3 linked regions of the Cricetulus griseus genome follow. The main gene of each other region encodes a partner of the protein of the gene in region 3 in a complex. Links are inferred from orthologs where the notes say so. Each region holds a gene or a part of one and is shown on either strand. Other genes may lie near its edges.

Evidence for each region.
Region 1: Smarcc2 (region 3) and Dpf3 share a complex: the UniProt entries of both Homo sapiens proteins name them as parts of the BAF complex. The link is inferred for Cricetulus griseus from reciprocal best matches to the Homo sapiens genes SMARCC2 and DPF3.
Region 2: Smarcc2 (region 3) and zinc finger protein neuro-d4 share a complex: the UniProt entries of both Homo sapiens proteins name them as parts of the neuron-specific chromatin remodeling complex. The link is inferred for Cricetulus griseus from reciprocal best matches to the Homo sapiens genes SMARCC2 and DPF1.

The regions. Positions count from the first base shown.
Region 1 is NC_048598.1:120,233,158-120,243,037, forward strand, and holds the start of Dpf3 (zinc finger protein DPF3), read left to right. Parts: upstream 1-3,750; 5' UTR 3,751-3,819; coding exon 3,820-3,851; intron 3,852-9,880. UniProt on the Homo sapiens protein: Belongs to the neuron-specific chromatin remodeling complex (nBAF complex).
Region 2 is NC_048602.1:6,511,113-6,520,892, reverse strand, and holds the end of zinc finger protein neuro-d4, read left to right. Parts: intron 1-619; coding exon 620-747; intron 748-979; coding exon 980-1,069; intron 1,070-2,137; coding exon 2,138-2,216; intron 2,217-2,436; coding exon 2,437-2,568; intron 2,569-3,424; coding exon 3,425-3,475; intron 3,476-3,567; coding exon 3,568-3,687; intron 3,688-4,894; coding exon 4,895-5,007; intron 5,008-5,531; coding exon 5,532-5,643; intron 5,644-5,789; coding exon 5,790-5,860; 3' UTR 5,861-6,916; downstream 6,917-9,780. UniProt on the Homo sapiens protein: May have an important role in developing neurons by participating in regulation of cell survival, possibly as a neurospecific transcription factor. Belongs to the neuron-specific chromatin remodeling complex (nBAF complex).
Region 3 is NW_023276806.1:129,430,335-129,440,214, forward strand, and holds the start of Smarcc2 (SWI/SNF complex subunit SMARCC2), read right to left. Parts: upstream 5,296-9,880; 5' UTR 5,246-5,295; coding exon 5,135-5,245; intron 3,174-5,134; coding exon 3,054-3,173; intron 2,096-3,053; coding exon 2,010-2,095; intron 1,264-2,009; coding exon 1,182-1,263; intron 1,088-1,181; coding exon 995-1,087; intron 1-994. UniProt on the Homo sapiens protein: Involved in transcriptional activation and repression of select genes by chromatin remodeling (alteration of DNA-nucleosome topology).

The sequences.
Region 1 (9,880 bases), on a different chromosome or scaffold from region 3:
CTCTTCAGTGTTTTTCTTCTCACTCATCTTGTACAACCATTTTCCCACCCAAGGGATTGCTCACAAGCCCAATGCTCTCTTACAAACAACTCTGAAGGCGAGGTTACTCCCTACCCCCATCATTGTCATTTGAGAGGAAGCCCAGACAAGCCCTCTTCTAAGGGGATGACCCTGATCTGGCCCAGTTGGTGTTTCTTGTCTTACCCTGGTGCCCAATGCTCCCTTCCCCTGCCTTTCAAATACCATCTAGTCTTCCTATATGTAGGGTTGTCCTTTGCTTCTCTGAGTCCAAGACCCAGCAATAGGGAATTTACAAATACTTGCTATGTAAAGTAGCTGTTGCTAGGTTATATTTTTAGTCTAGAAAACCCTTTACCCCTTGTCTCATGTCTAAGGTCTGCTTAAGCAAACCAAATTAATTGATATCTTCTTCATGAAGAGTTTCCCTCTCCTCATGTTGGAATGGCTCAATGCCTCCACTCTGGGCTTTTGATACCTATCACTTTGTCTCACACTAATGTGTAAAAGCCTCCACACTTTGGACCCTTGACAGTCCTAAAAAGTAGAGGCACCCAATAAACACTCAAGGATATGACCATTGGGATTGTGTACACCAGGCCACAGTTGAAGATGGCTGGGATGTGGGGAGGGTTCCTTTTTCCTTTCAAGTCACATAAAGCAATTGCTCTGTTTGCTTGCAAGGTTAGTTCTCTCTGCAGATGGATGGGAATTGCATTTTGAGGGCTGTTACCATGCCTGGTTTGTTTGTTTATTTATCCATTTGTTTGGTTTGTCAAGACATGGTTTTTCTGGGTGTAGCTTTGCCTATCCTGAAACTTGCTCTGTAGACCGACAAGAGTGACATCAAACTCAGAGATCCACCTGTAGGATTAAAGGTGTGTGCCACCACTGCCTGGCTTTGCTGGCCACAGTTTAATGTTTCGCTTTCTTCAAAGGAAGTTTACTTCAGCTTAGTGCTTAGAACATACCAGAGCTCGTTGTGGATACCAGGAAACCGCTTACTGAGGTCACGGCTGCCTGTGCTGTGGATGAATGGAGAGATGGAAGGGGAACCTGCTCTTGCTTTTGATATAATCCTTCTAGTTCCCAGAGCCCTGGAGGAGCTTCGATCATTGAGGATGGCTTTTGCAGCACCTTTAGTTTGTTTTGGATGAGGGATGCTTCTTAGGACTGAGCCTAGGGCCTTGTGCATGCTAAGCAATCACTGTAGCACTTAGCTGTTTCCCTAATACTACTCTTACTTTGTCAAGGATTTATTTATTTGATTTATTTATTTTTATTTTATGTGTGTGGATGTTTTGCCTGCATATTATGTCTCTGTGCCTTGTGCAGTACCTATGGAAGTCATGGATACATGCATGTTTGTGTACCATGTGCATGTCTTGTGCCTGAATTGTTCAGGAGAGGGCATCAGATCCCCCTTGGAACTGTTGTTACATGGTGTATATCACTAAGTAGTTGCTGGGAGAAACAACATGTGCTCTCAACTACTAAACCCTCTCTAGTCCCTGAAATGTAACTAAAAAAATGTTTTGACATCACAATTAGTAAGAAGGGTTTTGGGTCTATGGAGCTATATCATGGAATTATTGATGTCATTGTTGTTCATTTGCTCTAATCAATGAGTTTCAGAAGTGGATAGTTATTGCTACATTCTATTGTCATCTTATTGGGATTCCCTATATTCTTTATGCCACCAGCTGACAAGTGATGGGCAGACAGGTGGATTTCACAGCCTATATTACTACTGTACAGCACAGCTAAAGACTAGACTTTAATTCTGGTCAAGTTTTTTTTAAGCGTGTTCACTCCAAGTCCCTTGTTTCTGAAGGTTCTGGCCCAAATCTGTGTCTTTTTTTATCTATGATACAAAAACCAAAGTTAGTAACATATCTTTTATTTCTCACAAGTAAAAAAAGTGACTATAACCAGGCAGTGGTGGTACATGCTTTTAATCCCAGTGCTAACCAGGCAGAGGCAGGCAGATCTCTGAGTTTGAGGCCAGCATTGTCTCCAGAGTTTCAGGACAGCTAAGGCTACAGAGAGAAACCCTGTGTCAAAATAAATAAATAAATAAATAATAAAAATAAAAAAAAGGACTCTAAAGTCAGACTTGAGGACTATAAAGTCAGACTTGTATTGACAGTTAAAATGACATTCCATCAAGCACAAAAAACAAGGCAATGCTATTTTTTTGGGGGCAGAGCCTTGAGACTGGGTTTCCTTATGTAGTCCAGGCTGGTTATGAACTTCAAGGAAGCGCCATCATGCCTGGCTCTCTCTATGTAGTTCATCAAAACCAGCTTTCGATACAGGAGACCCTGTAATGAGAGAAGGGGGTGGGGGAAAACAACACCCTACTAGGCAAACAAAGAGTTAAATATTTCCAGTCTGCACACACACGTACTCACTCAGCTTTGCTGGGCTTATCTGTAACTCTAATAGTGAATGGAGTTGGAATCTGAAAGTTCTGGACTGCTTTGTAGTTGTATTTTACTTTATTCATTGAGGGCAGTAAAAGGAAAAAGCAGGTGGAATTATGAACCAGCAGTTCAGCATCTCTCATTTTTTTTTCTTTTCGCCCCCCCCCCCCCGCCTCGCCATCCATTTGGCCGTATTAAACAGCTATGGGTCGGTAGCCAGGCTTCTACATGCTAACGACGCCTCTAAGTGCTTTCGCTCACTCTGAGCCTCCCTCCCTGTTCTCCGTGGAAGCCTGAGTTCGCAGAAGTCTCTCAGTTTCTTCAAGTGTTCGCCAGATTCTGAGCAGCAACAGACTCGGGAAGCCTCGAGTCACGTCGCAACATTGGCTTGAGAATTCTTTTTGCGTCCTATATTAGTCCAGAAAGGTGACGCCGGTATCCGCAGCGCCGTTCCCCGAGGGAACTCCAGCAACACCCACCTCAGGCTCTAACAATTTTGCTTCCTTAGCTGCGTTTGCTAAAGTTGCCTCAAATCTTCCCTATCCTTTTGCCAAAAGAGCGCCAGGTCTCCCTTTGCTCTCCAGCTGGCCCGTGTCAGATCATTGTGAATCGCTGACAGCGGAGAACGGTGTGGTCGTAGGGGACAGCGCAGAGTGACCACCCCTGAATTACGTAACAAAAAACCGTAGCAGCAGCAGAGGGCGAGCCTGACGCTGAGACATTCCAGGGGGAAGGGAGTTGCTGTCCTGGACTAGCCAGTTCCCAGAAACCGACAGGGGAAGGTGGCTGAGATAAAGAAAACACTTCGGGGACAAGAATATTCAACAGCCTCAGAACCTACAGCATTATTAACAATCGGTGAAACACGAGTAGCAATTTCTTGCAGGGAATTGCAGCCTTCCAACTTTTGCACTGAAATACGGGAGGTGTACCCGGAGCGGGGGTGGGGTGGGGAGGTAAAGACGGTGATATATGAAGTCCAAAGCTAATGAATGGGATTTAATGGTTTTGATGGCCCTATGTAAATATTCCTGCTCAGGAGCGCAAACTCTCTGCAGTTATTTAGTAAAGTAGGGGCTCAAACTAAGAGAGAATTCTCTCCCATGTGTGTCCACTAGCCCCAATCAGCAAGGGCGCTACTAACACTGTACTGCCCCTTTAAGACCTGCTCGCTCTCGGGCTCTACAAAAGGGAGTGACCTCTGGGCTTTGACAGCTCCCCTAATAACTACCACCACGTAGGCCCCGCCTACCTGGCGACCAGCCGCGGCGATTGGCCTGCAGGCCGGTATCCCGTGCTCTGATTGGCCTGCCGCTTCCCCTGAGCGAACCTTTAGAACTCTGAGACAGACAATATTCTGTTACATTGTAGCAAAATGGCGACTGTCATTCACAACCCCCTGAAAGCGTAAGTAAGACTAAAAAATGTACATATTCCGCGTGGTTTCAATATGAAAAAAAGGCGCCTTGCGGAGCGCAGCCGGCGCCCGGCTCTTGCAGACGCCTCCCGCTGCGCCCGGGCTCCTCTTTTCTTCTGCTCTTACTTCTTCATCTTTTTTTTTTTTTTTTCCTCCCAGCGCGCAGAAATGTCAGGAGATGCAATTAACAAAAAGAAAATTGTTACATCTGTGTTCTGCTTAATTGACTGACCCGGACCGGGAGGGAGCCCGGAGCGGCGGCGGCGGCTCCGGAGCTGCGGGGGTCTAGAGCAGCTCGGGCTGCACGGTCCCCGGAGTCCTCTGCCTCTCCCGGCACCTCGCGGGGCTGGCCGAGCCCGGTCGGAGCGCGGGGCAGGGGCCGCGTCGTGCGCTCCGCTGAGCCCTGAGCTTCAAGCCCGAGGCTTCCCAGCTCCGCGGCTCGTCGGTCCGCCCGGGCGGGCTGATCAACCGCTGCAGCTGCGGAGTTTGCTGGGCGTTCGCTCTGCCTTCCGAGCTCTCGCAGGGAGTTTGTGCAAACCTTCCGGAGTTGGGAGGACAGCGCGCGGAGCGGCGGGTCTCGGGAGTCCTGGGGCCCAGGTGCTAGCCCCGGGCTTTTCCACTCGAGCAGCCGGGGGATCAGGGAGGCGCTCCGGGCGGTCACCGGTGTGTCTGCGTATTTGTGGGCGAACTGGCGGTAGTAAATTAACGACCTGGATTAACTTGGGGGTTGATGTGGAGGCAGGGAAGCTGCAGGTCTTATGAATGGTGTGTTTGCCTGCTTTGGGTGAAAAGCCGAGGTAGGCGGAGGCGGTTCGGGGCTCTGGCGACAACGAGGGGCAGGTGCCTCCGGGAGACTTTGAGCGGACAGAGGGGGGCGGGCTGCGCGAGGATTCGCGGGGGCCGGTCCCCGGTCGGAGCTGCCTGCCTGCCTGCCTGCCTTCCTTCCTTCCTTCCTTCCTTCCTTCCTTCCTTCCTTCCTTCCTTCCTCCCTCCTTCCTCCCTTCCCTTCCTTCCTTCCCTTCCTTCCCTTTCTTCCTTCCCTTCCCTCCAGTCGGTGAACTGTGAATGTGAAGCCGCCAAGTCCGCGAGCGATCGTGGAGCCGCGGGTGGCCTCGGAAAACTAGTGTGGCTCTCAAGGGGCGCTATTGGCAGGGATGTTGGCAGAGGGTGGATCCCTGGGAATTGCTGCGCGGTGTGGGCTCCGGTCGGTGCCGGTTGTACTAGGACTTCCCCGCCCGGTGAAAGCCTCTGGGAGTAGGAGGGTGCGCGTGGGTGTTTCGTGCCAATTCTTCCCAATTTGTGGCGGTGGTCGACCCTGGCTCTTTTAACTGCCTGCTACAGCGTCCTAACCCGTGGAGTCAAAAACACGGTTCGCTTTGGAGAGCAGCAAGGCAGTGCGGGGGGGATTCCTAGTGCCAAGAAACGCCTAGGGAGAACCCGCTGCGTTTGCACCAGCTAGCAACCAGGAATAGGGCAGGGATGTCCCAGATCTCGGAGTTTCCACGAGATAATGCGGTAAAGAAGACACTGGAGGCTGAGCCTGATGCGAGTTCCTGGCTCCAGTTCTCGCTCGGAAGCTCAGCTACTTTGCACTCGCGACAGCATTTCACCTAAGAGAGAAAATGTTTTATGGCAGAATAAATGGGCGTAACTTCGCCGCGTCCTCGCCGACTCGCGCCGCCACACCGCTGATGCCAGGAGTTTCTCCAGAACCCACACAGCTGATTTGCAATTTCCTCATTTCCAGCCGAAATCACGTAGTCGAGCTGATGCTGCTTGGTAAACTGAAGTCTGAGAGTTCTATTTACTATGTGTATGGGGTTCCTTATTGGGAAAGCGGTCTCCTTGATGCCCGGGAGCGGGCTTACGCTCGGGCGCGCGCAGGAGCTCCACGCTCCAGGGTTCCCCAGATCGTTTCACTTTTTTTTTTTTTTTTTTTTTGACATAGAAGCCTGCGAGTGTAGGGGTAATGGGGGAAGGGACAGAGCAGCAAGAAGGTGGCCAATCTCGGTAGTGAAATTAGTTCTGAATTACACGTGTACTCCTTAATAATTGGAAACACCGTGGGATGCATTTGTAACTCCGTCTTGGCACACACACGTACACGGGAGCTCACACACATCACCACTGCCTGCCTTTCCTAGGAAGGAGTCAAGCCGTCACTTTGTAATTATCCGCCCCCTTTTGCATCCCATCCTCTCCCCCAACCCCTAGGGCTAAGGGTGTAAACAATAACCCCAACGGCCAAGGGTTTTGCAGCCTGGATATTTTAAAAACTCCGCACGCAGGAGCACACGCGTCGTTACTGGGAGACCGACGTCATCTGCTTCTATTATTATTATTATTATTTTTAAAAACTTGTTTAATAAAACATCTTGTATATTTCATTTGTTTTTAGAAGTTGCTGTTCAGGAAACAAAACACACGTGAATAAATTATGCATGGGCTAAATTAGAACAAAGCGCAGCGACACAGCAAGCCGAAGGGATGGATGGGGGCGCAGGGAGGAGGAGCAATGAGAATGGTTTGGAGAGCTTATGTGTTTATCCTTGTGTGCCCCTCCTGACAATGAACCGGAGCTCCAAACCGCATTAGCATTTTCTCCGTGTGCGTGCAGTCTCTCTCGTCTTAAAAAGGCAACACCACGGACGCCCCCTACAGAAACTGGTCACACAAAGATTTCCTCTTGGACTGCGGGATAAGTAGCAGTAGTTAGGGTATGGGGAAAAGCCAGCTCAGGTTTCTTTCATGCAATCTTGTGCAGGGCTCTGCCTTCTTAGACTATGGGTTACTTTTCATCTTGCTAGCCTTTTTTTTTTTTTTTTTTTTTTTTTTTTCCCATGTGGGGCATTCAATAATTCAATTCACTGGGTGACTGGATGGTTAACTTGAATGTCTTTGCTTTGCATAGGGTGGGGGTGGGGGTGGGGGTGGGGGTGGGGGTGGGGGTGTCTTCTGTAGGGTTCCAAGCGCCTGAAAACAGCCTTTCTTGGTAGTTTGCCTTTCTTCCTGGCTATCTTTAATCTCCCCTCAACTCCCCTTGTTGCTTTCACCCTTTCCTCTCTGAAGCTGACAGTCTGGCTTCTCCGTTGTAGCCTTTAACTTCTTGTTACTGCCCAACAGGGTGTGTTAGAGGCAGAAAGAGGAGCTGCCTGGACAGATTAGATCAGAAAGGAGACTCGGCAGGTGGCCCTACAACAAAGTGGTCACATCTGGACAAATATAATTCAAAAGCACGGATGGACATGTGTGGTGTGTAAATGTGTGTTGTGTGCTGTTTAAATTAGCAGCTACATTGTCTGAGTGCAGATTGTTGGAGTCATCCTCAATTTCTGTATACAGAGGTAAGGGCCACAGACGGATTTGAAAAAGGCATGTGTGTGTGAGAGTTACTATTGTATACTTGTTGATTTCTGTATACTTAGGAAATAAATGCTTAAATTAAAAAAAATACTTATTTTAGCTGGGCATGGTGGCACATGCCTTTAATTCCAGCACTTGGAAGCCAGAGGCAGGCAGGTCTCAGTGAGTTCGTGTCCAGACTAGCTACATAGTGAGTTCCAGGACATCCAGAGCTACATAGAGAGAACCTGTTAAAAAATTACTATTTTATGTGTGTATATTTTGATCTGGTGAGGTACTGTTACAAGTGCAAGTGTGTGTGTGTGTGTGTGTGTGTGTATGTATGTGTGTGTTGTCAGAGGACAACTTTGGAGTCATTTCTACTTCTATGAGTTGTGAGGATTGAACTCAGCTCAGACTTGGAAGCAAGCAAGGTTACTTGCTGAGCTATCTCTCCTTTCCTTATAATACTTTTTTTGTAAGTTCTAACCTTAATATTCTAGTTTAGGTAAATCACCTTCCCCCATGTCTGCCAACAGCACTTTAGACAGAGCAATCTCTCAGTGACTTCTCGAAACTCTGGCCATAAGCACTTAAACTGGGAATGCCTGCCACCTTCTGCCAGACTTGATCATGTACATATGTATCTATTTTTATAACTCCAAGCTCAGAGAGGAATAAATGCTATCATTACTTAATTACTCTAGTTAGGGCTTTAATACTTTAATTATTTGATTTTAAACAATGAGAAAAGCAAACTACTTAGTCATGTTTGTCACTATGATTCCATGTACACAGTTGCATCAAAACTTTACTTTGTAAAGAGTTACCCTAGCTTGGAGGTCAGTGCTGTTATTTATGCTTTATTATTAAGGACATAACTCTGAGAGAAGTAAATGTTTACTTAGTCGAGATCCAACATGGCTCATGTGTATAGATGGACCCCAAGTTTTCATCTTCCTATCTGTTCTCTGATGTGGATGATGTGTGTTCTAATCTAAAGTGGGTTTGGGGCACATGAAAGTTAGAAGCCAGACCTTACTCTTGCCGTGGTAGCCAGTTTAGCTATCAGAGAGGAAGGGCCAGGGGGCCACATTCCTGGTGCTAATCTTGTCTTGGCTATTTTCGTTGGGGAGGGGGTGGTGAGTAGGGTTGGGGCTTTGTGAACTTGCAGCCTTTTATGGACATTATTTTAGTCCTTTGTGGAAAAGTAGATGTTTCAGCACTACTATCTCTCTCTGCTTTTACTCATCAGTGTAAAAAAAAAAAAAAAAAAAAAAGGATGTGGGGGAGAGGGATAGCTCACCAGGTAAAAGCACTTGTTGCTCTTCGGAGGACCTGAGTTCGATTCCTAGCACCCACATAGAGCATCTCAAACTGCCTGTAATACAAGTTTGAGGGATTATTTGACACTCTTTTCTGGATTCTGTACACGTACACATGAACACACATACTCTGGACACATACACACACAATCTTTATTGGGGGGGTGTTGAGGCAGGGTTTCTCTGTGACTTTGGAGGTTGTCCCTGAACCAGCTCTTGTAGAGCAGGCTGGTCTCGAATTCACAGAGATCTGCCTGCCTCTGCCTCCCAAGTGCTAGGATCAAAGGCGTGCGCTGCTACCACTGCCTGGCCATACAATAAATCTTAAAAAAAAAAAAAAAAAAAAAGCCCCAAAGCCTCCAGACTTCATTAACACATTATTTTTTCAATGGGAAGTTCATACCCATGAAGGACATTAGTTTCAGTCAGAATCCAAGTGGCAAATCTTTGAAAACAACTGCTGCTGACCTCCCGGGATCATTTGAGACCCATAGAACAGACTGGGATCCCACGGTGATTGACTTGGAGGGTCTACTTCTTCCCTTGACTCCTGGAGCCACTCAGGTAGCTGGAATTCAGATTTATCCTCTAAAGGCTGTGATGTCTCAAGCTGTTTTAGAACCATCCTTTTAGATCAACATCAAACATATGAATGACCAGCATGCTTTGTTTTGAGCATGTACCCCAAAAGGATGGAAACTGAGGCTGGCATCCGTTTTTCAAACTGTAGCCCTGTAAATGGCAGTGACAGTCATAAAAACGGCCCCAGGATTCGGGGGTCTGCTTGTTATCCCAACCTCAGCAAAGTGACTTTTGTGGTTTTTGAGTGTTTTGAAAGTCACTCGAAGGCAGAAATGTAGCCAAATGTGGCAAACCTCAGGCCAAAAAAAATCCCACAAGCACTGGAATATTTTTTACCCTGCTGTGATTTTCCAACAGGAGTCTTATATAAGCACGACCCTATCTTAAATAGTCCTTAACGGTGAAGGTATTTAACACGGGAAGACAAAGTGGTCTGGGGAGGGGAGGAGAGGATGGGAGAGTGGAGAAAACCACTGTGTGGTTGGAACTCCAGAGGTGACTGTTTAACTGCAGAGGAGCCCACAGGGTGAACTGTTTTCAGTTCTCAAGCTTTCTAGCTGCTGGAGCGAATGGGAAAGGATGAAGTGTAGTGTGTGTGTGTGTGTGTGTGTGTGTGTGTGTGTGTGTGTGTGTGATTTGTTTTTCTTATTGGTCAGGCTACTGGTGTTTCACACTCTGTCAAACCATATGGATGAACAGAGCTGGCTTCATAAAACTGTCACAAAAAGAAGGTATCTTTTTTTTTTTTTTCTTTTGAAGCCTGTGATTTG
Region 2 (9,780 bases), on a different chromosome or scaffold from region 3:
TATATCATAGGGCCTGGGTCTTCCTAATTAATGTGGGTCCAGATCTATTTGTGGCTCTGCCATCTCCTTCTGAGTACCCAGGGTTTAATTGTATGTCTTCTGAGTGTGCAGCTATATTCGAAGGTCTGGTGTGTCTGACCACCTATCTGCATGTCCTGCGTGTGTGTGTGTGTGTGTGTGTGTGTGTGTGTGTGTGTGTCTGTGTGTATCCTATTCAAATGTTTAACTTTCTTTGGGTGTGTCTGAGGGCTGGACTTTGACTACACAGCTGTTTACGAGGGCCTATATTGTTTCTGAGGGTTTCTGGATATATTCAGCATTCTGGCCTTGTCTTTTTTTTATTGAGTAGAGCTGAGGGTGTGGCTGTGTCTCCCCAGGATCTGGGTACACTTTCCAGGGCCTGAGGTTGAATCTTTATGTCCTTGTTGGCTGAGTGTATGCTGGGTGAGGGAGAACCTGTCACTGCCACAAGAACCATGCCTGTGTCTGTCTTGGCCTTGCCCCCCAACCCCTCTGCAACCTTCTGCACTGCAACGCCCCCCACCACCCCCCACTGCAACCTGGGCACTCTGCAACAGTCTCCTCGATTGACACTGCTTTCCCTGTGGACTGTTCCCAGATTGTGAGGTACCCCTGAAGAAGGAGGGTGGCCTTCCGGAAGGGCCAGTCCTCGAGGCTCTGCTGTGTGCCGAGACAGGAGAGAAGAAAGTAGAGCTGAAGGAAGAGGAGACCATCATGGACTGTCAGGTAGGAGCTCCCACCCTGACTGCAGGGCCGCTCTCACCCTGTCACCTGTCACCACTTGGCCTTCCTGCTCTGAACCACCTGGCTCCATAGGGCCTCTGGGTACCCTACGTCTCCATCCTCCCAGAAACACCGCTGCTTGTAGAAGGCTCCCTGACTCGCTCTCCCGCCCCACCTGCTGCACACCAGTGCCCCCACCTTCTTGACCCCCCAATCTCCCTTCTACTGGGCCCAGAAACAGCAGTTGCTGGAGTTTCCGCATGATCTCGAGGTAGAAGACTTGGAGGAAGACATTCCCAGGAGGAAGAACAGGGCCAAAGGAAAGGTATCTTCCGGAAGCTTCTCCCCACCACCTCCTCCCCAGAGCTGTATGTAGGAGTAGAGACTCAGTGGATTATAAACATTTCCAAAAAAAAAAAGCTTGCGCTGTGGATCAGACCTGTCTGCAGAGCTGGGTGTGGTCCTCCACACACAGAGTCCCAGTGCCTGGGAGGCTGAGGCAGGAGAGCTGCCTCAAGTTTGAGACAAGTGAATTCCAGACTATTCTAAACTACATACCAGAGACCCTGTGCAAAGAGAAATAAAAAAAAAATTCTAACCCAAACCAACCACCCAAATAACCACTCCCTCCCGTACACACAACACAGAACAACCCAAAATCTTCTACTGGATGCCCTTTATGCCAGCACTCAGGAGGCAGAGGCAGGTGGGATCTCTGTGAGTTTGAGGCTAGCCTGGTCTACAGAGTGAGTTCCGGGACAGCTAGGGCTACTAAGAGAAACCCTGTCACAAGCAAAACAAAACCAAAACAAAAATCTCCAGTAAAAGCAATAAAAATGTGTTAGAGCACACCTTTAATCTCAGCACTAGAGAGGCCAAGAAAAGAGGATCTCTGTGAGTTCAAGGCCAGTCTGATCTATATAGTGAGCTCCAGGACAGCCAGGGACAGCCAAACAGCAACGACAAAAAGAATTATCTTCATGTTTGTACTGAGAGAAGTCGAAGACTTATAGCTAGAAAGTTTGCTCAGTTTCATGTGCAGGTTGACTTGCTGTTGTGGGGTGCAGATGGAACCCAGAGTTTCATACTCACATGACAACTGCTCTATCACTGAGCCAAACCCCAAGACTGAAAAGAAAATTAAATTGTTTTCCAGTTTGACTTTCAAGTCTAAGTGAAGAAGCCCAATAAAGCATGGCAGCAAACCCATAATCCAGAGGCAGAAGGTCACTGCATGGCCAGCCTCTTCTACATAGTGAGTTCCAGGACAGCCAGGGCTACACAGTGAGACCCTGCCTCTGACAGCAACAACAACCAAACTCAAAAAAACCCAAGAATGAGGAGCCTTTCCCTGGTTTTCTGGGCTCCTTACTCCTAACCCTCCTCCTTGCAGGCATATGGCATTGGCGGTCTTAGGAAACGCCAGGACACTGCTTCCCTGGAGGACCGAGACAAGCCGTACGTCTGTGATAGTGAGTTCTGCAGAGGGGAAAGAGAGAGGAAGCGGGCGGGGGTGGGGGGTGCGGGGTGCGGGGCGCCCAGTGACCTCACACATTATGGCCCTTGTTCTGGTAATGGCTCTTGGGGAAAGGGAGTGTTCTTTGGGAGAGGGGATGGATGGTATGATCCTGGAGGCCAGGGTGGAGGCGGCGGCCTTGGTGTCTGACAACTACCCACTCACTCACTCTTCAGTCTGTGGGAAGAGGTATAAAAACCGACCAGGGCTCAGCTACCATTACACCCACACCCACCTGGCTGAGGAGGAGGGGGAGGAGCACACTGAGCGCCACGCCCTGCCTTTCCACCGGAAAAACAACCATAAACGTGAGTTGGAGGGCCAGGGCTGGTGGGGGAGATGCCTGGGTGTGCGGTGGGGGCAATGGAGCCTGGTAGTGGCTGGGGAAGGGAGGTGGGGGCTCATTAGACATTTCTGGAAAATCTCCAGCCTAACGGTTCCCTCCCCCACCGACCATAGGGATGCTGGCTCTGGGGTTGCCATGACAACCAACCATCTCTCTCTCTCTCTCTCTCTCTCTCTCTCTCTCTCTCTCTCTCTCTCTCTCATTCTCTCCCTCACTCCCTGCCCGGGCATAATATTTCTGGGTCTGATTTATTGTTTCAATTAGAGCTTGGGGGGGGTGATAGATAACTCCTCTCCCTCTCTGGGCCTCCCTTTTTCCCTTCTCTGCTATGCTAGGTCCAGGGGCAAGGTCTGTGGCCCCCAGGGTTCTTGACACCCACCCACACCCGTTCCATGCCATGACAGCTGAGCCATGGGGGAAGGGAGCTGTCTCTCACCTGCCCCTCAGAGTGAGCTCCTCAGCAGCCTCAGGCCAGGCCCAGAACCTCCTGTGCTCTTGTGTCCTCCTGAATAGGTCTCCTTACCAGGTCTTGCAGAACTGCCTGCTAACTGGTGGCCCAGCCAGGCAAGCTGACTTGAGGGTGCACACACGTGACGGGGAGGCAGTCATGGTCTTTTGCTAAGGTTATACCTCTTGCCCACACTCACCCAAATAAAGAGAACATAGAGTTACGCCAAGTTTGGGTGAGATTTGCCCCTTCCCCAGCTGTTTTTGCTGCTTCCCAGTGCCTGGGCCAAAAGTCCACCCCTGGGGCTGAGGCTGGGGACAGATGGGACCTTGCCTATAGTAAGAGCCCCTTTCTGTCCCCCCACCCCCAGAGTTTTACAAAGAATTGGCCTGGGTCCCTGAGGCACAGAGGAAACACACAGGTAGGGGCACCTCCCTCCACCCTGACGTTTGCAGCAGTCTTTGACTAGGGTGCCCACCTGTCCCGTGCCCACCGCTGCCTGCTGTCTTTCAGCCAAGAAAGCACCAGACGGCACTGTCATCCCCAATGGCTACTGTGACTTTTGCCTGGGGGGCTCCAAGAAGACTGGGTGTCCCGAGGACCTCATCTCCTGTGCAGATTGTGGGCGATCAGGTGACACTCACCACATTTTCCTGGAAGATGCAGGGGAGGGGACACCCCAGAATTCAAATTTGGGGAATGGGAGGCAAGGGAGTAAAGACCCCAGGGCACAGTAGTTTGGCAGAGCCTAGGGGCTGCCCCTGCTGCTAAGGACTGTGGGAAGCTGAGCGGGATCAATGTAGGAACAGTATGAGGTGTCATGGCTTTGTGTCTTCCTGGTATGGAGAATGGACAGAAGCCGCAGAGGCATTGTGGGTAGGGGGACTGAGGTACGGGAGTAATGAATTGCACCACCTGGTTGCTGTAGAGAACAGACTAGAACTGTGGTTAATAGAATGTGGTTTCTCATGGAGGTCTCATGGGTAGTAGCATGGGTAATGGATTGTGGTTGTTGCAGTATGGGTTGTCTTGGCAATTTAATACAACGGAATGTGATTGTTACGGCATGGTGGACCATGGCTGTGAGATGCCATGGGTAGTGGCTGTGGGGACGTGGCTACTGGCCTTTGGGCAGTGTGGGCAGTAGCTCTGGCTGTCAGGCTGTGTGGGCTGTTGGTGTCTGGCTCTGTGGGAAGTAGTTGTAACTGTTGGGTGTTATGGGCAGTGGCTGTCGGGCTCTGTGGACAGTGGCTGTGGGTGTTGGGCGCTGTGGGAAGTGCTGTGTGCAGTGGCCACAGGTGTGTCTGTGCTGCTTTGGGAGAACAGACTAACACTGAAAGTATTTATTGTCAGTGGCGGTTTGTTTGCTGGTGCCTTGTGTGGCATGGCCTTTGGTTTCATGGAAGCGGTTGCTATAGCATCCTGGCTGGGAGAAGGCGGCTGCCACGTTGCTGGGGTTAACATGAGGGCTGGCCGCCGCTCTGCTGTGGGTATTGGAATGTGGCCGCCGAGTGCGAGTGAGGTGCTTTAACAGACTGTGGTTGCCACAGTGTTGTGGGTGGTAGGACGCGGTTGCCACAGCACCGTGGGTAATGGAATGCGGTTGCCATGGTATTCTGGGGAGCAGAGTGTGGTTGTCATGGTGGCTGAGTAGGAGACTGTGGTGGCCGACACACAGCTGCTTGCCAGCAGTCCTGCTTCCGGATGTCTGTCTGTCTTGGGGGTAGGGTCCCCACCACCAAGCTCATCTTGACCTCTGAGTCAGGGGTGGGGGATAGAGCCATTACTTCCCCAGGGGTACAACGACCTGCTAACTGCACCCCTGCCCCTCGGTCCCCAGGGCATCCCTCGTGTTTACAGTTCACGGTGAACATGACCGCAGCGGTGCGGACTTACCGTTGGCAGTGCATTGAATGCAAGTCTTGCAGTCTGTGTGGCACCTCGGAGAACGACGTGAGTACCTGCCTGCCCCACCTCCCGGGGCACACCTCCGCTGCCCCTCCAGCCTGGCTGCGCTGCTTTTGCCCGTGAAGCCTAAAGCCTTCCTTGCTCATCGCCCCTGGGTGACCAGCAGTAGCATCCGTTACTGTTGTCACCAGCGCCCCTTGACTGGAGCCTGTCTCTGTACACCCTTCCCGTCTGACACCTCCCAACCTCCCTTGAGGCTGCTGTTGTTGTTCCCACTACACATAGAAGAGGCTGCTGAGCTCAGGGAGGGAGAGTGATGCCTGAGAGGCCACCACGCTGAGAACATGGCAGGGCCAGGATTTGAACCTATGTATGTGTACTCGTGGCTCCCAAGCTGCTTTGGGCCCCTGAACATCATTCCGTATTCTGTAGTTACAAAATCCAGACGACAAGCAAGGCCAGTGGGCTCCACAGTACAGACTGGAGAGCCAGCTCTCTCAGAAGAGCCCCTGGGGACCTAGCCCCTGCCCCAGCCCCCCCACCCCGGTTTCTGGTGCCCATGCCCCCAGGGTGCCAGCTGGGCGGGTCTCACCCCCCAGGACCAGTTGCTGTTCTGTGATGACTGCGATCGGGGTTACCATATGTACTGCTTGAACCCTCCCATGGCGGAGCCCCCGGAAGGTGAGGGAAGAGGTTTGAGAGACATGGGGTGGGTGGGTTGGAACTCTGTCTTCCTGGTGGCAGAGACCATGTGCTCTGGGTGGGGACAGGTGGGGGGCGCCCTTCTTCGGTTTGAGTCTAATTTTGTCTTGTGGCTTCCCCCGCAGGGAGCTGGAGTTGCCACCTCTGTCTTCGGCACTTGAAAGAGAAGGCCTCTGCCTACATCACCCTCACTTAGGCCTGGCTCTGCTTCTCCAGGACCTTTGGGTGGTGCTAACTTTCCTGCCTCGAGGAGCTCCTGGCTCTTCCCACCCGGTGTCCCCAGGGGGAGGGAGGCGGTGGAGCACGGAGGGGACCAAGGCGTTCTTCTGCAAGTGGAATGTTACCCTGTGGGTGGGTGGGTCCTGTAAGGCTCCTCCTGCCCCCCTCCATCCCTTGGCAAATGGGCACCAGGGGCTTCTGCTCCCCTCAAAGCCATACCCCGCCTCTGGGCGGGCATAGGGGGGTAGTGGATGCCATCTGGGGGCACGGAAAAGCCTTTTTCTAAAGAAAAAGACAAAAAGTAAAAAAAAAAAAAGGAAATTAATATATACAAAGAGTCCTATAAAGCCTGGCTGGGTGGAGGGGCACAGCGGAGTGTCTGCTGGGTACCAATGTTACCGGTTTCCTGACTGGCCCCTCCCTGCCCCGATTCTGGGGTTGCAATTGTCTCAACTCCCCCATCTGAGGTGGGTACCATTCCTTCCTCACACCCAGGCCAGGTGGGCGATGTGCCCACCCACTGCCCTCCCCCAGGACCCACCGTGGATACTGCATGATGTGAAACCATGGTTTTGAACTCTTCCTGCCCCTCCTTGACAGCCCCACCCTGCGCCCACCCGGTGCCTGCCAGGCCTGGGGCATGCAGCTGGGGGAGGCCGGTGGGGCGAGGCAGGCAGGCAGGCAGGCAGCCAGCCCGCTGCAGCGAGAAGCACAGATTGCAATGGACTCATTTTTTTCCCTCTCTTCTCAGCCCCTTCCCTACCCGGCCAGGCCGGGCTGCCTCCTGCTGCCCCCTCCCATCCAGCCATTTTGGGGGTGGTGAGGGGGTGTGGTTGTTTCTTGTGGTTGTGTGTGTTTGTTGTTCGGGTTTTAAAAAGGGAAATTGAGACGGCAAGTGGGGGAGGCGGAGGGTCTGGGGGAGTCTACCCCCAATCCAGGAGTGCCCCCCTTGCCACCAAGTCTCCTTTATTGCCTGCCTCTGCTGTGAATTAACTTGTTCTGTGTATTAAACTGGGCCTGACCCCTCTACCCACGACTGCCTCCTTCTCTAACATCCTTTGGGGTGTCACCAAGATGGGGAGCCAAGAGGCCTCATTGGGGTAGAAAGCACTGTGGCCGGCCCGCACCCCCTTGCCCCTACACCCTGCCTCCCTCTGGCTTTGTCCCAGCTCCTCCCTGTCTTGCTGCAGAGAAGAGGGGGATGGGGTGAGGGGCTCCCACCCAGCCAGCTGTGGTTGCCCTAGCAACGGGCTGCTGCAGCTGCAGCGGGAGGCAGCTCAAAGAGGGAGGTGGGAGTGCGGGCTGGGGGGAAGGGAGGGCTGGAGAGACCCGAAGGCAGCCCCCTCCCGGGCTGTGGTGAGGAGATGGCACCCCAGCGTGGCTGGTTGTCACCTGGGATTCCCTGCCCTGGGTGTGGCTAAAGTTGGAGATGGGCAGGAGCACATCTCGAAATACAGGGACTCAAGGAGACATGGGGTGGGGGTGGGGGTGGGGGGTGAGCGTGGAGAACCAGGGCACTGATCAGGAAGGGGGAGGATTCTGAGGTCACAAATTTACTGAATGAATAAAGGACAAAGCCGGAGAGATACACAGATGAAGAGAGAGCCCCCCCCCCCCCAAGAATTCCAAGGGAAGAGAACAGAGACAAGGATGGAGGACTAGTCCAGAAATTTAAAAAAAAAAAAAAAAAAAAAAAAAGGCCAGGCTCTGGCAAGACCAGGGGAGGGTGAAGTGGACAGCATTTTGGAGAGAGAAGCAGAAAATTTACCAAGTCAGGAGGAAGCAAAAGGCAGGCAACAATAGACAGCGATGAGGGGGTAGGTGGGTGGTGTTTTCTGGTTAGAAGGCAATGGTAGCAAACCGTGTGGCTCAGAATCCCAGCATTGGAGGCTGAGGCAGGAGGATGGTGACCTGTAGGTCTCCTTGGCTACACTGTGAGCCTTCTCTTAAAAAAAAAAAAAAAAAACTGGGTGGGGTGGGGGACAACAGAAATCTGGAGTGCCAGCCAGCTGAGGCCAGAGATAGAGTGGCAAGCTAAGAAGAGGTGGGGGAGGGGGGGCAGGAATAACTGGGGCAAGGAGGGAAGGGACTATTGGCAGCGCAGGCGCCATCAGGGCTTGGCGTGCGCTTGCGGGTGCGCCTGTGAGTTGTGGGGTGTTGGGAGATGGTGGTTGGTGTGTCTCCCGGGCCAGGAGAGGATGTGAGAACAGTTTGTTCCCAGGTTCCCTCCTCCCGGCTTGGCCCGGGCTGGTGGGGGGAGGGCAGGGCTGGAGGATGGGGCCCCGAGGAGGGTGCAGAGTGAGGATGTCTGAGTAGCTGGGAGGGCCTGATTCTCCACTGGATAGATGCAAACCCTTTCGGGAGACATTTTTAGGGGGCAGGGGTGCGGAGAGGGCCAGAGTTGAACTCATACACAAAGAGGCCAAGGACAGCTAGTTGTGGGGGGTGAAGTCCTGTTCAGAGAAGCGGTGTTCCCTCGGGAAGTGGGTCCTTGGGATCTTCCCGTGGAATTCCTGAGTCTGAAATCAGTTTGCCTCAGTGTCCACAGACGGAGTTTTAAATTGCCCCCACCTTGCCTCCAGGAGGGCCACAGAGAACCTGATCCTGGCCGTGGTCTCAGGAGTGTGTTGGTGACACTTCCCTTGTGGATGCAGAGGGAGCTTCATCACGTAATTCCTACCTCTGACCCCTAGAGGCCTGGGGCTGGTCTCCACTGCAAGCCACTCCTGGACTGATGGCAGAGGGAAGTCCATGCATGCCACAGTGGGGCTCAGTGGGCGGGGCAGAGTAAGCAAATGAGGTGGAGATGAAGAGGTGTGGCTTGCAGCAGGTGGGGCCCTTATGGGGTAGGGACTTTGATTTTTGAGTCCCACAGATTAGGATAGTTTTATTTTACCTGAAATCCTGTGTTTTTGTTGGTTTTGAGACAGGGTCTACATGGCCCTGGCTGTCCTGGAACTCCAGTAGACCAGGCTGGCCTCAAACTCAGAGATCGGGGTGCCTCTGCCTGCCAAGGGCTGGGATTCAAGGCGTGGACTTTCTTGTTTTGCCGTTTTTTTTTTTTTTTTTTTTTTTTTTTTCCTTAAAACATCAGAAAAAGGAATAGGGTCCCTTGGGTCTGGAGTTGTGAGCTGCCATGTGGCAGCTGGACATTAGTGCTCCTCTGGAAGAGTAGCTGGTGCTCTTAACCACTGAGCTACTTCTAGTCCAGAAGTTTTTTTTTTTTGTTTGTTTTTTAAAAAGGATTATTACCACTTATCTTGGGGATAGCTTGCTATAGAGCTGAGGATGACTGTGAATTCCTGATGCCCCCTCCCTTCAAGAGCTGGGATTACAGGTGTGCGCCAACACCACCAGCTTTTTCCAGTCTCTGGGGAGGTAGGCTCTTGCTGGAGAGTCCAGGCTGCCTGGCCTTGAACTCTCAGGGATCCTCCTGCCCCAGCCTCAGAGCGCTAGGATTAGAAGCCGACCACCGCCTCCCCCTTTTGAGACAGGGTCTCAGAGTGTAGCCATAGCTAGCCTGGAACTTGCTATTTCAAGCAGCCTGGTTCAGACTCAGAGATCCACCTGCCTTGCCTCCTGAGTTCTGGTATTAAGGGCGTGTGTTACCATGCCCACCCTGTAGACCTAGCTTTTTTTTTTTTTTTTTTTTAAACTTTAGCACAATTCTACATCCTGAGGGGCAGATTTGTGTTGTCTGGATGCCAAGGAAAAGCTGTAAGGGCTGGTAAGTGTATGCTGTACTGCAGGGGTGTGACATGCGTTTAAGGGAGCCTGCGCCGATTTTCAGGCAGCTGCCTGTGAGCACACCAGCCATTTCTATGAAACGTTTATTTCCTTTGAAACCTCCTGAAACATGCCAGAAATCTCAAGACAGGGATGGGGGGAGACAATAAA
Region 3 (9,880 bases):
TGTGTGTGTGTGTGTGGCGTACTGCCTGTGTGTGTGTGTGTGTGTGTGTGTGTGTGTGTGTGTGTGTGTAAGCTAGAGGTCAACTACAAGTGACCTCTAGCTTCTATTTTCCACCTTATTTTTTTAAGACAGTGAACCAGGAGCTTGACATTTCAGATTAGCTGGTTAACAAGTCCCCGGGATCTACCTGTTTCTACTTCCTAGCTCTCGAGTCATAGGTAGAAACTACAACACCCAGGTTTTACATGTGTTCTGAGGATCCAGACTCAGTTCTTCATACTTACATAAGAAACTGAAGTCATCGTCCCAGCCCTACCCACCAGAAATTTAAAGTGGACTCTGTGCCCATCCATAATATCCCACTTCTCATTAAAAAGTAGTTCCAGTAGGGTGGTGGTGGCTCATGTCTTTAACCCCAGCACTCAGAAGGCAAAGGCAGGTGGATCTCTGTGAGTTCAAGGTCAGTGTGGTCTACAAAGTCACACAAACCCTGTCTCGAAAAACCAAACCAAACAAACAAATAAAAAGCAGTTCCAAAGAAGAGAGATTTTGTTGTGGTTGTTTTAATAGCATCACTTTTATAGCTGAGGCAGGCCTGAATACACTATGTAGCCAAGGATGACTTGAACTGTTTTGATCCTCCTGCCTCCACTTCCTAAGTGCCAGGGCACATCATGGCACCTGATTGCAGGGTTATGTTTATCTGAAATTAGGTCTGTCTAGTTCAGTGGAAGACATTCTCCTTCATCCAGGCCAATATAGTGCCAAGGGGCAGTGATAAGTCTATCAAGCCTGGGGAACAGAGCTGACAAGCAGGACAAGTGCTGTTCAAAGTGTGAGTAGAGAGGGCCACAGCACAGGGGAGAACGTGGCACAAGTTGCTTCCTGATGGAAGACACATCAGTTGTGGAGAAACGCACTGTAACAGGGGTGACAATGCGTGAACCAGTCAGGAGTTCAGGAGCCTGACTTACCTGCCTCCCTTCACACTTACCTGATGCCTCTTAACAATGTCTTTTAATTTTCCCAGCAGCTTAGGCTCAATCTCTGGGCACAGGAAAATGTTAGGTCGAGACAGGCAATTATTCTGTGAGGAGGAGAAGTGGATGAGATGAGGAGAGACTGCTTTATATTCTTTCTGCGAAAAGGAAAATGGATGGGAGGAAGGGCTTGAACGTTACCTGTACCAAGGACTTCTCAATGGTCATGAACATTTCTACATTGCGGTCCATGCGAGACGGATTCTGGAAATCGTAACGCCGCCTTGTAAAGGGATGATAATCTAGTAAGTTATAGTTTGTGTGAGGGCACAGGACTCATTTATGTTTTTATTTTATGTATATGGATGTTTCGCCATGTTTGTAAGCACCATGTAAATGCAATGCCTGAGGAGGCCGTAAGAGGTCATTGGATCTCCTGTAACTGGGTTACAGAGGGTTGTGAGCAGCCATGTGGGAGCAGGACCACATCTTCTGCAAGAGCAGCCAGTGCTTTAACCATTGAGCCATGTCTTTAGCCCCAAGGGTACATAACTTGTTTTTTTGTTTTTGTTTTTTTGGTTTTTCAGGATAGAGTTTCTCTGTGTAACAGTCCCAGCTATTCCTGGAACATACTCTGTAGACCAGGCTGGCCTCAAACTCACAGAGATCCACCTGTCTCTGCCTTCTGAGTACAGGGATTAAAGGCTTGTGCCACCAACTCCCAGCTTGGTACAGAACTTCTTAACAATTAGGAGGTAATATTGTCACAAATTTTGCCCAAGTCACAACTGCATGATTCACTCTATGTGTTAAATCAAAAGGACAAAGTTTGAGATGCCAACCTAAAAACCCTCTTCCCAGACACACTGGTTCTTGGGGACTGTTCTGGCTATGCCATCTATTTTTCTGATCTATCAAAATAAAAGACACATAGGATTTCTAATGCGTCCTCTGGCTTCAGAAGGACCCCAGGAAACACTGGGAATTTTCTTTAAACTAAACATGAACAGCAGAGAGAAGGCATCTCACCATCCCTGGTCACTCTTGAATTTGTAGGCAGCTGCCAGAATGTGGCACAGGGATCCTCCTGCTTTGAAATCTAGGAAACATTTGATCTACAAAATAGAGACCAGGAAGAAGTGTGAGTTACATTGTAAATAAAAACCTGCCACAAAAATCCCACTCTGAACTCATCTCCTTCTCAAATGTTTTGTTTTGTTTTGTTTGTTTTTTTGAAACAGGGTTTCTCTGTGTCTTTGGAGGCTGTCCTGAACTAGCTCTTGTAGACCAGGTTGGCCTCGAACTCACAAGAAATCTGCCTGCCTCTGCCTCCCAAGTTCTGGGATTAAAGACATCAGCCACCATTGCCTGCCAGGACACTGTCTTAAAAAGCAAACAGCCAGGCATTGGTGGCTGATGCCTTTAATGCCAGAACTTGGGAGTCAGAGGCAGGCGGATCTCTTGTGAGTTCAAGGCCAGCCTGGTCTACAAGAGCTAGTTCAGGACAGCCTCCAAAGACACAGAGAAACCCTGTCTCGAGAAACAAAACAACAACAAAAAAGAATCCCTGGAGGTATAAGCCACCATGTGGGTACTAGTAATGGTACCCAGATACTCTGCAAGTGCTCTTAACCACTGAGCCATCTCTCCTGCTCCCAAATGTCATACCCTTTTAAACCATAACCATGAGAGACACACCAGAGGACTAAACCCCATATTCTCAGATTACTTGTGGCACAGGGGTTTTCTAAAATAACAGGAATAGCCAGCTGGGGACTAGTTCAAGCTGTAATGCCCTGACTACTAATGACGACAATTACTGTAGGAAATAAACCTACCAAAATTACGAAATTTGAAGAGAAACAAGATGAATTTATTTTTTCTTTTGAGACAGGGTCTCATAACATGGGACACAGTATCAGAACTGCTATGTAAATCAGTTTGGCCTCCAACTTTTGATTCTCCTGCCTCAACCACCCTAATTCTGGGATTCTGTGTACTAGGAAAAGAAAATTTAAAGCAAAACAACAAAAACTCCCTTTCCAGTTTGGAGGATTCGTCCCTTGCACTCACCGGCAGTTTAGTAAGGGGTGCATTGCTGACATGCTTGCCAAAAACCTCTTCCTGAAACTGGAGCAACTGCACAACCAGGCTAGACAGGGACTTGTTGGTCGGTGGTTCTGCTTGTATGTACTGAGGAAGAAGGGAAAGGAAGAGAAACAGATTCTAGACACGCTCTCTACCACCTCCCGTTTCTTTTCCCTGTGTTCTTGGAAGCACCTGGGACAGAGTTGTGCCTTTCTCCTCCACGTTGTCTGTCTATATCAAAAGGGCTCTAGCAGCTCCTGCATTTTACTGTCAGTAGCCCAGGTTGCCAGCACTGGGGACAGACAGCAAGGAACACTTTGCACTCTTATTTAGCTGCACCCCAATGCTGGCATTGCACAACACCCTGATAGCTGGTCACCTCATCCCCAGCAAACAGTTAAAATCTTGAAGCTTTATGAAGTTCAAGGCAAGGCAACAAAAATCCCTTTGAGGCTCTAAGTGACACAACAATGTATTTCTTGGGGGAACACGATAAAAGACCAGGCTTCCACCCATAATGGTATCTTAAGAGAGCAAAGAAGAGAGGCAGGGCAATCTAACTTCAAAACTAAGCCTGTACATTTTGCTTCCACTGAAACCTGACATGATTGTCATTGTAGGGTCTCCTCTCTAGCAAGGAGGGCAGACCACCCACCGGGCCTGAGGATAAGTAGGAAGCCCGACATCTACCTATCCTTTTCTGAGGAAACAATGACCTCAAGCATTTCCCTATGGTGCTACCTGGAATCCTACCTTTCTGTTTTGTTCACTGATCCAAGGAACTAATTTTCTCTTTACCTTTTGACCCTTATTTCCTCTACCCTAATCAGAGTCAGACCTCTCTCGGTGGGAGGTGTCAAAAGATCTGTGAAGGGAGAAGTAGATGACAAAGAGTTCAGCACTTGAAAGCTGAATCGGGTCACAGCTGTCAATCCCCTTGGGGCGATAGACTAAGACCCTTGTCTGGTCTCCCTTCAAAAGGTCAAAAGCAGACTGGGAAGCAGAACCTCATGCTGGGGGTACACACAGGAGTCACAGACCCAACAGCTGTTTGTCAAGAGTCTTGACACCCATAGAGACCCCAACTCAAAGCAGGGTTAGTGGAGAGTTCTGAGGCTGACCACTGTATTCTGACAGGTTGCAAAGCTGGGATAGGAAGAGTTGGGGGCTGTAAAAGAAAATAAGTGGTGGGGGGGGGAACCTTAGGCAGGGGTATCTAGGAAGCAGGCCATATCCAGGAAAAAAAAAAAAAAAAGCCTAGAGACAATGAAAACACCAGAATGAGATTTGGGTTTTTTTTTTGTTGTTGTTGTTGTTGTTTGCTATGTTTTTAAAAACAGGTAGGGCTTCTTGAACCCTTTTGTTCACCACCCTTATTATTTCCAGTTACGGGGTGGGGGTGGGGACTGGCGATATGAAGCTTACCCTATCCTCTGGCCCTCAAAACCCAAGCGACGCTGGCTAGCTAGCTAGCTAGCTAGGCTGGGTTGCAGAGCGACTTTATTGTGAAGCCAAGGGGCCCGATGCCCTGGCCCCCGAGGAGGAGGGAAGGGGATAAAGCCTGGGGGACAGGTGATCCCCCAGGTAGAGACGCTTCCCACGGCCTGTCCCGTGCCTGTCTACCCTCCCGCTTTCTCCGTCTGTCTCTGGACGGATACAAAGCACCGAGGAGGGAGGCCCGGGCCGTGCCGGTACCTGGCTCGGCGGGGAAGCTCCGGCGCGGGGGGTGGGGGAGACACCGCGGCTCGCACACCGGAGGAGAGGAGGCGCGCGGCGGTACCCGGCCGACCGGGTGGCCGGCTCTGGACCGGTTAGCCTCCGGGAGAGCGAGGGCGATCGGGCCCTGGGCCGCCGCCCCGAGCCCCGGGCGAGCCCCGGGCAGAGGGCACAGTGGGGGCGGGGTGGGGAGGGGGCGCGGCGCTGCGCTGCGCGGGGAGGCCGCGGGGAGGGGCGCGGCGCGGCGCGGGGCGGCGAGGCGAGGCTAGGCGAGGCGGCCCGAGGGTGGGCCGGCCCCGGGAGAGCCGCGGCCCGCGAGCCCTTTGTCCCGGCCCGCCAGCCCGGCGTACCTTCTTGTAGTTCTTGCCGAGCCAGAGCCGCACGTTGTCGAACTGGGTCACGGTGTCCGCGGCCTCGTAGTACTTCACGTTGGGGCCGCCGTCCTTCTTCCGCACCGCCATCTTCTCGGGCTCGGGCCCCGCCGCCGCCGCCGCCCGCCCGCCCCGCTCAGCTCAGCTCAGCTCAGCTCCCGCCTCCTCCTCCGCCCGCCTCCCGCCGCCGCCTCCCCGCCACGGCCGCCGCCTCCCGCCGCCTGGGCCGGCCCCGGCCCGCGGGAGCGCCCCCTGCTGGCGGCCCGGCCCGACGCGGCCACAGCGAGCGGGCTCCGGGGCGGTGGCGGCGAGCCTCGCTCGCGGGTGGGTGGCGGCTGCTCCCCGGGGTCCCGCAGCGGGAGTGGGGACCCCATGGGGGACCCCGGTCTACAGGAGCTCCGCCCGCCCCTAACCCCGAGTGGCCCCCATCATGCGCGCTCCCTTCCCTCCAATAAGTCCCTTTCATCTCCTCCCATTCCGCTTTCGACCCCACGGGTGTTCCTGACGCTCCGGGTCCCGGTGCCGCCCAGCATCCCCCGGGGGTCGGGGCTCAGGTGAGGAGGGGGGTCTCTTCCCTCCGTTTGACTTTCCGGTCTTTTTGCCGACTGTCTGTGATTAAGGGATCGGTTTGCGAGCCCGGAGCCCCCGACCCTTCCGGGCCAGGCAGGCGGGATAGGAGGCAGCGGCTCCAGGTGTGCGCCTCGGGGCCGCCACCGCTGCGGGGTCGCACGCGCCTCCCTCGGGCGCCGCCCGGACCCTTTCTGTAAGCGCGCGGCGGAGCATGGTTTTGGGAGTCACGGTGGCCGAGTGGTTAAGGCGTTGGACTCGAAATCCAATGGGGTTTCCCCGCACAGGTTCGAATCCTGTTCGTGACGACATTCTCTGTTCCTTTTTTTTTTCCTCCGCCCCCGCCAGCCCCCCACCCCCATCTAAATGTGGAAGTGAAAAGATCGCATCGCTTCATTAGGTTAGGTGGGGGTAACATAGAAACTGATCGATGCACAGCTGTTCTGGCTGCTAGGTCACCAGGCAGTTTGAGAGATCTGTAACGATTCATGAGATAATGAAAGATTTGGGTGAAGATTTGTTTTGTTTGGGAATGTGTGTGTTGTGCAATGATAGTTAGTGGTGAAATTTCTAGGGAAAGAGGGCGTCTTGGAGATTTGTGACTAGAAGTCACACATGGAAGTCTTATGACACTGGAGACCGGAGAAACAAGCATTCCCTCATTTGGATGTTTAAGTTTGAGACAGGACCTCATGTATCCAGACTGCCCTTGAACTTGGACAGTAGCTAAGACTACCTTGAACTTTTTTCTGATCTTCCTGCCCTATGTTTCCAAGTGCTGGAGTTACAGGTGTGCTCACACACACCAGGTTCATGTCTTGTTGCTGAATCCAGGGGTTCAGGTGTATGCCAGGCAAGCATTCTCTGTTGAGTTGTGTTCCCTAGCCCACATTTGAAATTTCTTGAGATTAACTTCAGGTATGACAACAGGCCTAGAAGGAGGCCTATTGAAACTTAACCACTGCAGATGGTATTAGTACACGTTAGGTACCAGAAACAAGTTAAAATCTCCATGTACATTATTAACCAAACTAGGAAACTTGTCCTTTTCAACCTCTTACCCTTTCACCTTCCCTAGTGTTTGCAGGCTACTTGTTCTTTTTGTATTTCATGTCTTACATAGCGCAATCTTCTCCGAGAAGGAGCTCTGCGAATTCATGGAGCTGTCTATGTGTTGGTACGGGTTTCCCACCTTCATATGGCTGGCTCGCTGCTTCCCTGGCACCCCGATTAGCACAATGTCTAGCCTCACCCCCATCACTAAGTCCTCTGCATACCACAGGCTAGTCCTCCAGCTGGAACCTATCACTATCCCAGCACCAATGAGTTTCATGCAAGGAATCTTTCTGTTTGCTTTGTTTGTTTAGCTTTGTGAGACAAAGTTTCTCCTGTAACAGTCCTGGCTGTCCTGAAACTCGCTCTGTAGACCAGGCTGGTCTCAAACTCACGGAGATCCACCTGCCTCTGCCTCTTGAGAGCTGAGATTAAAGGTGTGTGCCACCACCCGTCAGTTGTTCGTTTGCTTTTTGAGGCAGTTTCACTGTAGTTCAGGGTGGCCTGCTGCAACTCAAACTCATGGCAGTCTTTCTAACTTGGTGCTCTGACTGCAAGATTACATGTTTGAGTCATCACACCCACCTTGCAGGGAATCTCTTTTTCCACAAAAAAACAAATTCTATTTATTCCCCCTTCTAAGTATGTTTTAAATCAGCTCAGTTTTCTCAGGGATGAGTGTGTAGTGGGCCTACCACTTGTCAGTCTTTTGAGAAGTTGCATATCTAGTGCATGTCTTTAATCCCAGCACTTGGAAGGCAGAGACAGGAGGATCTCTGGGAGTTCAAAGCCAGCCTGGTCTACAGAGTGAGTTCCATCCAGGATAGCCAGACCTAAGAAGTGAGACCCTGTTTGGGTCTATTGAGGCAGCCACACGACGACTAACCTTAACCCCTGTCATGGCTGTTTGTATGCCATGATGTAACCCTTAACCACTCTTAGCCGGTTTTTAACTAGATTCCATCCCCTGGTTATCTGGCCTTGTCTGGGCTGTTCTGTGTTGACACATCCTTACCTCCTCGATCTCCTCTGGTTGAATGTGATGTCTCCTGTACAATCTCAGCAGTTGGGAAGATTGCTTTTGGTTCAAGGTGAGGCTGAGTTGCCCTGACAACCTCTTTCAGTAAGGACTGGAGATGCAGCCCAGCTGGTGGAGTACTAGACTATGTGAAGCCTTGGGCTGAGTCCCTAGAACTATGTGAACTGCTACACACCTGTAATCCCAGCACTCTGGAGGTGGAAGCGGGAAGACTGGATGTTCAAAATCATCTTATGATACATAGCAAGTTTGAGGCTCTCCTATGCTACATGAGATCCTGGCTCAAAAAAAAAAAAAAAAAAAAAACCTTTCTGATCACCTGTTCCCCCTAATTGTACAGGAAGTCTTTCCTCTTCACACTCAAGTCTTCGACCTTGCTGTGTGAATGAATGTATTCGAGTTTTCATCTGCATTCAAACTGGACTGTAGGTGTTCTGAGAGTTAGGATTTTTTTTTTTAAATCTCTTCAACAAGGCTTTAAACATAGTTGTGATCACAGTAACTAACAGAATTCCATTCTTTTTTTTTTTTTTTTTTTTTTTGGCCTGCTTTCCTATTAAACTATTTGGAGAGCCAAAAGAAGAAATGACCAGCAGAGGGCAGTCAACAACCATCTTGTGAAGGGAAGAAGGCCCCAGTTTACAAAATGGAGGCTGCAGAGGGAAGGGACCTCCACAAGACTGGGAGCACTTGAAGACCATCCCTTCCACTCTCAAGATTCTTCCTTTAGAACTTTTAGGTGTGAGGCAGCAGGGTGCCTAACCTGTGGGTCCAACAGATACTTAGGATTTCTAGTTAGGCATGGTGGCACACCATTGTAATCCCAGCAAAGACAAGACTCAGGCAGGAGGATCATGAATCAGAGGTTAACTTGGGCTACATATTAAGTTCAAGGCCAGCCAAAAAAAATTTTAAATTATTTTTATTATGGAGGCAGATAGAGCTATTCTTCTGTCCTGACTGCCCAGTCCCAAATAATCGCACAAAAAAGCTTGTATTAATTATAGGATGATGGACCTATCGCTCAGGCTTGTTATTAACTAGCTCTTACAACTTAAATTAACCCGTTTTTATTACTCTACACTTTGCCATGTGGCTTGTGGCTTTACCTGCTGTCTAGCACATCTGGCACATCTTGTTCCTCTGGCACCTAGCTCACATCTCTCTCAAATCCACCCTTCTTTCTTCCTGCACCTGTTTGGCTTTCCCGCCTAGTCTTATTCAGCATGGCTATAGGCCAATTCAGCTTCATTATTAACCAGTGAGAAGAATACGTATTTACAGCATACAGAGGACTATCCCACGGCATTGTACACTTACTCTTTACTCTTCTACCCTTGTTTCTACCCCAACAGTCTCCTTGTGACTCCGTGTTGAGTGAGCTGTCCCCCTCCCTGCTCTTGGATATTTACATCCACTCAGTGTTTTAGTTCTCCGCTCGTCTCCAATTTATCTTCACTGAGATTGACAACCCTGCTCATTCTGGCCTCCTGTGAATCTTCCATAACACCTCTGTCTTAGGGTTTCAAGCTGTGAGGAACACCACCACCAAAAGCAAGCTGGGGAGGAAAGGGTCTATTTGGCTTAGGCTTCCATATCACCGTCCATCATTGAAGGAAGTCAGGGCAGGAACCTGGAGGCAGGAGCTGGACAGAGGCCACGAAAGGGGAGCTGCTTACAGGTTTGCTCAGCCTGCTTTCTTATAGAACCCTGGTCCACCATCCCAGAGATGGTACCACCCACATGGGCTGGGCCCTCCCCTACCAATCACTAAGAAAATACTTTACAGCTGGATCTTTTCGTTTGTTATTTTCTGTTTTTTTTTGTTTTGTTTTTTTTTTTTTTTTGATAAAGGGTTTCTCTATATTGCTTTGGAGGCTCTCCTGGAACTCACTCTGTAGACCAGGCTGGCCTGGAACTCAGAGATTCGTCTGCCTCTGCCTTCTGAGTGCTGGCATTAACCCACCACCAACACCTGGCCTTACAGCTGCATCTTATGGATTTTTTTCCCCCCAATTGGGGTTCCTTTCTCTCAGATGATTGTAGCCTGTGCCGAGTTGTGTTGT